Linked DNA regions of Oryctolagus cuniculus. The protein of the gene in region 2 interacts with the protein of the main gene of each other region in a biochemical or structural test. Links are inferred from orthologs where the notes say so. Each region holds a gene or a part of one and is shown on either strand. Other genes may lie near its edges. The genes, in order: plasma serine protease inhibitor and PLAU.

Region 1 (4,553 bases), on a different chromosome or scaffold from region 2:
ACCCTGGCCGTGGGGGAACAGCCTCCCCTCCCCTCGTTCCTTGCTGTGTGACTGTGAGCTGATGGCCCAACCTGTCTGTTGCTGCACTGTGTTGGCGCTAAGCAAAACAATTGCCCGAGTCTGCGAAAGTGTGGCCATCTCAGGACCCTATAAAAGTGTGCCCGTCTCGGGACCCTGCGAATGTGTGCCTGTCTCAGGACCGGGCCAGCCATCAGCAGCTGTCTTGCAGCATGGTTATAAAGACTGCAAAGACAGCGTGCCCGAAGCCCTGGGTTTGGTGTGTGGTCCTTTAAAAAGCATCACCAGACGAGGGCTGTTCTTTGTTGCTGCTTCTCGAAGGTGATGATTTCGCTTTTTTTCCTTTTCTTTCCTCTTTTCCCTTCCTTCCTCCCCTTCTTTCCTTTTAGAAACTTCACTGTCTTTAAAGACCCCAAGAATGTCCAGACCATTGAGGAACATCCTCTTAGTTTTTTAATTCCATTCTTTCTGTTTCTTTTTCTTTCTTGGACCAAACAGGAGAGGGAGGAGGCGGGGTAGGGGGGAGTGGGTGGGAGGGCGGGTGCGGTGGGAAGAGTTACTATGTCTCTAATGTTGTAAGTATGAGATACATACAAAATAAATACATAAAAAAGTGTTACTAAACACTCCCTCTTATCTCTGCTGGGGAAACATAGAGAACTCTTTGGGCTCCAAAGTCAGGGAGAAGGGAAAGGTGGGGTCTCGGCCGTTGGGAGGGACACGCCTCCCCCGGGAAGCACCCGGTCTGTGTTTTGCTCAGCCAGCTCCACACTGCGCCTGCGCCCACACGCAGCACCCTGCGGTGAGCGGAAGCCCAGCATGGGGCCTTGGGTCATGGAGCGAGGCTTCAGCCAGGCCCCTGTGCCAGCCGCTTGGGAGTCTTCTGAAGAGGCCAGGACAGAGTTGGAGACCCTCATTTCAAGGCAGGAAGGGTCAGTGCAGCCAAGAGCGCTGGCCTTGAAGTCAGCCCCCGGGCACCAAGCCTCTTTCTGCCACTAACACCATGTGTGACGCTGGATGTTTCCTTCTGCCCTGGCAGCCTCGGCGCAGGCGCTAGTGCACTCAGGGGGTTGGATTCTGTGATGACCCTTTGTCTCAGCTGGGTGGGGGGTGGGGGTGGGGGGCTCACGGAGACCCTCTCCTCCAATTGCCATGGTCTGTGATGCAGTAAGCCCAGCCCAGGCTCAAGCCACGCTCTCCCAATCTGCAGAAAAAGAATTGAGACTAGTGAAAGGGAAGGACTGGCCTGAGGGTGCCCCCTCCCCATTTCTGGAAGGCAGCAGCCAGTGGCCCGTGTAAACCACCCCCACCCCAGAGTGGCCATTCCATTCCAGGCAAGTGGTGATCAGTGTGGGGCTTGGGAGCATGTAAGAGGGGCCTGGTAACAGCCCCTGGCTCCTGCTGCTTTGCTTTCAACAGGAAGCCTGCTGGGACAGGACAGGGCGGGCCAGGCGGGGCCAGGCGGGGCCAGGCGGGGCCAGAGGAGGGGTGGAGACAGAGCCACCGTGGTCAGTCAGGTACAAAGGCTGGCTGTCTCCAGGCAGCCCTCTGCCCTCTGCTGTGTCCGACAGACCGCCACCTCCTTTTGTGCACGCTGGGCCTGCAGAGTAAGTATAGCTCCTGCTCCCGGGGGGCCCGTGGGAGGCACAGGAGTGCAGGGAGGGGCACAGGCAGCCTGGAGCATGGTGGGCTTACAATGCTCAAGAGCCCTGGGGGAGTGTCAGAGCAGCTGGAAGGGCCCCTGCAGGGTCAGGGGGCAAGCGGGGCTCTGAGGCAGCAGAGAGGGTCCCCCCACCCCCGCTCCAGGACCTCGGGCTCCACACTCAATGTGGCAGAGCCTCTGCATGGTGTGGCTCTCACCCCACCACAGCCGGCAGTGTCTGGAGACAGGTGGCCTGTCACCGCTGGACAAGGTAGGACAGGTACTAAGGGCTGGAGGCCAGGGACATCGCCAGACACCCCCCAGTGTACAGCAGGGCCCCGGAGAGGGAAGGATCTTGCTGCCTGTGCCCCCTGGGCCAAGGTCAGGGAGCCCTGAAATAAAGCAGCGGGAAGGTGTCTGCTAGACAGCCCTCAGTCAGTGGTGGCTCGTGCTATTTTCTGGGCCTAGAGACTCAGAAAAATTACCAGGAGAAATGGCCAAAGATAACTCCTTCCCCGAGATAAGGGCCCTGCCTGGGGGCTGCCCCCAGGGGCAGTCGTGGGGTGGCTCCAGGAGCCCTTAGGCGCTTTGTTAAGTAAACAAACAGAGAAAGGAAGTTAACAGCTCTGGATGGCCCCTTGGGCTAAAGCGGCAATCAAAGCAGAGGCTACCCTGGGCCAGGGCCCTGGGTCCCAGCTCAGGGAACCCCAGCCTGAGAGCCGGGGTGCGGGAGGTGCCGGCCACGTCTGGCATTGACTGTCGGGTGGCCTCATGGTGCGCACTCGTGTGCTTGCTGGGGCAGCTCATGAAATCAGCTCAGACCAGCAGAGAGGAAGCCCAGCACACGCTCTGCTCATGCTCAAGGTCACCCGCAGAGCTCAGCTGCGGGTGCCCAGCCTGGCTCTGGTGCCAGCACTCAGTGTCCAGCAGGCGTCCGCCACCTGCGGATTTCACAGGAGGAGCCAAGGTCCATTCATTCCTTCACCTGCTCACTCACTCACTCATTCGCCCCGCCTCGTCCATGATAGCAACAGCTCACTGCAGAGAGTGGGGTTGAGGCACTGGGAGAATTGGGCCTCAGGGCAGAGTGGGCCAGAGAGGCTGGGAGAGCCAGGTCACTGGGGCCTCAAGGGTCAGGGTCACAGTGGACCCCTGCAGTGGTGCACCTCAGTCTTCCTGCCTGTGAAATGGAGCTGCCTCCGTGGGAAAGGCGTGAGGCTGGAGGAGCAGAAATGTCAACACTGTGCGGTGCCCGACAGAGGTGCCGCCGCCACCATGGGCCTGGGCCTCCCGCACGGCGATGGCAGAGGCTGCTGGCTTGGTGCCGGGGGGCTGTGGCTCTGCAGGCACAGCCTCCTCCATCAGCCTCCTTCTCCAAGCTCAGCGTGCAGCGTGGAGGCCAGGAGTACTCAACGTGGCTCAGACAGACAGACCTGCAGCCCTGGTCTGCCCATCTCTCCCCGGCTCAGCAACCATTTCCCACGCCACTGCTGGGGGCCCCTTGGGCGTGGTTGGGGTCAGGTGACCGGCAGGCTGGCCCCGCTTGCCCTGGGCCTGCAGGGCCCGATAGGATGGTGCCCAGAGTGGGAGAGAACCCAGCAGGAGGGGACTCACTCCAGGAATGGAACGCAGCGGGGACAACCGCCTAGAAGCAGGCAGGCCATCCGCAGCTCGGCAATCGGCTGCCGGGGCTGCTTTCAGGTGCACAGGAGGGTACGTGTAGAAGGCGTGCACCCCACGCAAAGCAGATGAAATGGGGTCTCAGGCGAGGCCTTGGCCAGACGTGGCCCCACTGGCTCCTCATGCACTGGCACTTCTGCCAGCTTTTATCTATGGTGATCAGCTGAAGGCCACAGGTGCCCAGGGAGCCGGTCCTGATATCACTTCTGCCTTTCGGGTGGGAGTGGGGGCTCCAGTGTAACTGACCTGCCCCACATCACATGACCAGGCCGCAGTAGGGCTGAGATTGGCACCGGGTAGTGGGCTTTGCAGTGTGGGCTCTGCAAAGCCGTGGGGTAGACGAGGGACTTAGAACAGAAGCCAGACAGGGAAGCAGGAACAGGAGATGGCTCCAGGGTGGAGGAAGGGAGGGAGGAGGTGCTGAAGGCAGAAGGCAGGCAGAAAGAGCTAAGCTGACACAGGCCACCTGACGGCCCCCAGGGCCACGCGGAGAGCCTCCTCCTCTGGAAGATGGAAAGAGAAGATGGGCTGTGTCCTGGGGCACCAGAGACAACCCCCCCCCCCCCCCCCCCGCCGCCGCCTGAGCAGCAGAAATTCCTCTCTAGTGCTGGAGGCCAAGCCTGAGACCGAGGTGCCAGGGGGTCTCTGCAGGCCCCTCCGTGGTGGATAGATGCTGCCTTCTCCGTGTCCCACCGTGGTCCTGCTCTGCACCTGTCATGTCCACAGCCCCGTGCACCTGTGTGTCCTCACCTCTGCACCTGTGTGTCCTCACCTCTGCACCTGTCTGTGTCCTCACCTCTGCACCTGTGTGTCCTCACCTCCTCTGCACTTGTGTGTCCACAGCCCCTCTGCACCTGTGTGTCCTCACCTCTGCACCTATCTGCGTCCTCACCTCCCCTTCTATTATGAGGACATTGGTCTGGTCCCTCCCTAGTGGCCTTGTTTTGGCTCGATCACCTCTATCAAGGCTCTGTCTTTAAATGCATCCTGCGGTCTCAGGGTCAGGATGTCCACACAGCAGCTGATGACACGGAAGAGGAGGGGCCTGGATGCGCACAGTAAGAGGCAACTTCCTGAGCGGGGGTGGCCTGCTCAGCTACCGGGAGAGAAGGGGCAGTTGTCTGTGTGCCGGTGCCCTGCCCGGCACAGGGGAAGCTCACGGTGTGAACCGGGACAGCAGGGCTCAGAGCCCACAGCGGGCAGCTGCTCTGAA
Region 2 (4,358 bases):
CTACTGTCCAAATTCTGCGTCTATATAAGGCTTCATCTAACAGCAGTAGGAATATCTTCTTCTAATTTGCATGAACAGGACATTCCCAGCACAAGCCATATTCACCCATAGCCATTTCCACTCAGAAGAGGCACCAGTTGAGAGAAATTCAGGGTCTCTATGGAAGAGCACCAGGGCCTTCATATATTTCTCTCTGACTTCCCACCATTCCTCATGTTGTACGAAGCAGGGATTTCAAGTTGCTCTACAACCTTAGCCCCCACTTGGTTCTCTCCTTAGCTCCTCTTTCCACAGCCATCATCATCATGGCAGGTGAGGGCTTTCCACTCACCAATATCGTTGTGATGAGCCAGTGTGTCAGCGCTATAGCCCTCATGCAAGATGAGTTGCTCCACTTCAAACTTCATCTCCCCAGGTGTCATGGAGTTAAGCCTTGACCGACCCAAGTAGACAATGTAGTCCTCTTTCTTTTGGTGATTACTGTGGGAGGTAAGACCTGTCAGACAATCTGACTTCATGAAACCCTGTCAGCTCCTCCTCCCCATCATAGTGGCCTCCAAGCATGACTTGTCCTCAAGGCCAGGAGACAGATGTTTCAGTGAGACAGAATTGAGGTGGAGTACTTTGCTGGGAAGAAGAAAGGGATGTGTTTGGGGTGCAGGAGGAGGAAGATTGAGAGACTAGAGAGGGACGTACATGAAGCAATGTGTGGCGCTGACCACCCAGCAAGGACTGATGAGGCTGCCGCCACACACATAAGTGACAGAGCCTCCCCGGTGCCTCCTGTAGATGGCTGCAAACCAGGGCTGGTTCTCAATGATGGTGAATTCTCCCCCAATAATCTTAAAACGGGGCCTCAGAGCCTTCTGGCCACACTGAAACTCCAATTTTCCTGGAGGAAGGGCAGGTTTTTTTCCTAAAGGAGAAAGAGAGAAATGTCTTGGGGAGGCAGGTAAGATAAAATAGCCCACTCAGGCAGGCCTCCCTCATCACTCATTCTGTGATGGAAGAAGAGGACACGTGAGTTTGTCCCCTTCCACTCCACTGTGATGAACAGGCCAGGGAAACTCACCTGAAGAGCAGTCATGCACCTTGCACTCTTGGATGAGCTGCTTTAGGCCAACCTGCACATAGCACCAGGGTCTTCTCTGGTGGTCTGGGTTCCTGGCAACATGGAGTGGTAGGGGATGTCATTCCAACCCACACTGTCCTCCCTGCATCCTCCCTTCCCCTCCAGGGATGACTCAACCAGAAACCTCTCTTGTCTCATGTTCTGGCCAGCACTCTGGTAGGAGAAGGGGTTGGTAATGAGGGCTTTTGTGAAGCCATAGGGTGACTCCAGGTCCTTACCATCCTCTTCCTCACCTGCAGTAATTGTGTTTCCCCAAGCCCAGCTGAAGGGCATCAGGTCTGTGGGCATGGTATGTTTTCGTAAGAACATTGGCAGAGTTCCAGGCAAGGCAGGGTCGATCCATGATGTCAGTGTTGGCCTTTCCACGATAAGAGTGACCATCCCCATGATAGCAGGTTTTCAATGTATCTACAGAATGATCCGAGGACAAGAAATGTTAGTAAAGGAGGAAATGCATAACCGGCATTTTAGAGATAATAAGCTTTCAGATAGGGCAGAAGACACTGCAAAGCTTCTCCTTCCACCCCACCTCACATTTGTGCAGCCACTGCTTCATGAGATTCTTTGTGCATGTGTTTATGTTTGGCTGTATATACCACATTGCAAGGAAGATGTCACCCACCCCACCTGCAGCTCCTAACTCCTGCCTTTGCTTGCATCCCACCCATCTCTCGTTGTCCCGCAATCTCTTGTGCCTCCTCTTCCAGGTTAGAGTCAGGATCCCCATACCTATCTCACAGTGCTCTCCTTGGAATTTCTTTGGGCAGTTACATCGCCAAATGTTGGAGAAGTACTTGTAGGTCACACATGTTCCTCCATTCAGACAGCCGCAGTTTGCTGGAAAGTACAAAGGTAGGGTAAACAAGGAGCTGGAGCACGGTAGAGGAGGGGAGGCAGTTCTGCAGCAGGGACAAGGAGTGGCTGCCCTCTAAGGCTTTTCCAAGATGCCTGTGCAGCCAATTGTTGTGCAAGGGGTGGATACTCACAAGCATCAGACACTCCGTGAAGTTCATGGCTTCCCTGGAAGAGAGGGGGGAGAGGGGCAGGTCACCGAAGGTCTCATGCTCCTGGGACTCCAGGGAGTGGATAAACTGGCACCATTCCCAAATCCACTCTTCTGGCCAGCTCTCTCTCCCCTCACCCTGTTTATATCTAACAAGCCTCCACATGGAAAATCATGGGTTTCCAGTAGAGAAAAATGAGTTGAATGAAGTGAGCTTTACATAGTAGGTGCCTTCAAACTGGGGCAGTCCTGGGGGTTCTTCCACCCTTGCCCACAAGTGCAAGCCCCCATAGTTCTCAAAGCCCCCACTGCCTCACCTTTCCTATTCTCTCAGGGGAGTCTGGCAAGGCTGTTAAGTGAATCTCCCCTTCCCCTGGCGCTATTCGGGGTCCTGCACACCCCCTTTTGCGACACAAGACAAATCAGGAAAGTCACTCACTTCGGAGTCGCTCACGACCAGGGCGCAGAGAAGCAGGCATACCAGCAGGACTCTCATGGTGGCGAGGCTGGGGCCCTATACAGCGGCTCTGCAAGGGAAGGAGAAGTCAGGGTAAGAAGCAGAAGAGCGAGAAGGCCGCCAGTGCGGGTTACTGCAGCACAGGGAGGAGCCCCAGGTTCCTGCGGGCCGAGCCCTCGGTGACTAGGTTCCCCAGGACCAGCCACCTCTCTTGTCTGGGGACTGCAGACTCAGAGAATCCTAGACCTGCACCCGCTTGGGAACGCTTGGGATCGGGAGCAGGGATTGCCGGCAGCCGCTGCGCAGCCCGGCAGCCCGAGGTAGAGGAAAGGCAGGCGCCCGGGAGCCGGGACCGCTGCGCATCCCGCCCGACGCTCTTGGGACCACCCTTGCTCACCAGTGGCTGCGGCAGGAGGATGCGGACCTGCGCTGCGGGTGTAGGTGGACGCTCAGCCCAGATCCGGCGCTCCAGATTCCGCCTTGTGCTGCTGGCGCTGGACGCCGGCTGTATATGAGGACCCGCCCAGGCCCGGGCCCCGCCCCCGCTCCGAGCGCAGGCTGCACTCTCCGCCCTCTCCTGCTGTTCCCTGCGGACTGCTGCGACTAGAACCCCGTGCGCTTCCGAAAACTTTAACAAAGAGCACGATCCCCAGCGGAGGAGAAGAGGCGAGTCCGAAGGCGTATAAATTCTCCGCTCTCTTCCCGTTCACCTGGCCCTGAGCCCGCGCCGGGGCTGGGGGCGCTGAGTTGCAGCGAGGAGAAGGAACTCAGGAAACACCCTCCCAACTCTGAAGCCTTCTCAGGAGTCCTGCAATCAGTTCTTCCCAACCTTTCCACCCTCGGCCCCCACCTGCCTAGGCAATGATTCAGACCCCCAGTATAGGGGCATAGTATGCAGCTGTCTCTTTGTCAGCGTGAAAAATGCATATAACATCCGCTTCCTAACACAAACACAAAGATTCCTGCCAACAGGGGCTGTCAGATCCCCGGATATTACAAATAAAACCAGTGGATAAGACAGGCTGAGCTGATTGCTTACCGGCGGTCAAGGAGTTACAGTGATGTCAGAGCGGGAGAGGCAAGGTCAGATTTTACTGGGAGTTTGCAGTTTGGTTCATGGTTAGTCTTTGAAAGTGGGGGCTTCCGAAAGCTTGAGGGTAGTAGTATGATATTGTAGGACTGTGGGAACAAAGACTTAGGATGCAAGCCATAGATGCTTCCTGTAGAAGTGCTGATGAGTTTTGGGGAAGTTCTTGTAATGAACAATTTGTTTATTTGCTTGGGCAAAGATAAAGTTGGTTAATAAAAACAGTGGAACGGTAAAACCTTATTAAAATGCAGGCAGGAAGCTATGGAGGGGTAGGAAGAGGACTAGAGAACAAGATAGGAAAAGTATTTATTTCTCACTGTATGCCCTTTTAGGCTTTAAAAAAAATATTTATTTTATTTGTTTAAAAACAGAGTGACAGACAGAGAAAGAGATCTTCAGACTGTTGGTTCACTTTCCAAATGGCCACAATGGCTAGGGCTTGGCCAGGTTGAAGCCAGCAGCCTGCAGCTCCATCCAGGTCTCCAACATAGGTAGCAGGGTCCCAGGTACTTAGGCCATCTCTGGCTGCTTTCCCAGGCACATTAGCAGGGAGCTAGACTGGAGGTGAAGCAGCTGGAACTCAAGCTGGCACTCAGGCAGGAGATGCCAGTATGTCACAAGCGGTGACTTAACATGCCACATCTCAACACTGGTCCCAGTTTAAAGTTTTTTTTGT

Evidence for each region.
Region 1: the proteins of PLAU (region 2) and plasma serine protease inhibitor form a complex in vitro, tested with the Homo sapiens proteins (2 studies listed by BioGRID). The link is inferred for Oryctolagus cuniculus from reciprocal best matches to the Homo sapiens genes PLAU and SERPINA5.

What each region holds. Positions count from the first base shown.
Region 1 is NC_091451.1:39,381,492-39,386,044, forward strand, and holds the start of plasma serine protease inhibitor, read left to right. Parts: upstream 1-1,486; 5' UTR 1,487-1,625; intron 1,626-4,553. UniProt on the Homo sapiens protein: Heparin-dependent serine protease inhibitor acting in body fluids and secretions. Inactivates serine proteases by binding irreversibly to their serine activation site. Involved in the regulation of intravascular and extravascular proteolytic activities.
Region 2 is NC_091446.1:64,942,962-64,947,319, reverse strand, and holds the start of PLAU (urokinase-type plasminogen activator), read right to left. Parts: upstream 3,091-4,358; 5' UTR 3,017-3,090; exon of another isoform or gene 2,990-3,016; intron 2,663-2,989; 5' UTR 2,632-2,662; coding exon 2,575-2,631; intron 2,153-2,574; coding exon 2,119-2,152; intron 1,970-2,118; coding exon 1,862-1,969; intron 1,541-1,861; coding exon 1,366-1,540; intron 1,165-1,365; coding exon 1,073-1,164; intron 917-1,072; coding exon 697-916; intron 481-696; coding exon 332-480; intron 1-331. UniProt on the Homo sapiens protein: Specifically cleaves the zymogen plasminogen to form the active enzyme plasmin.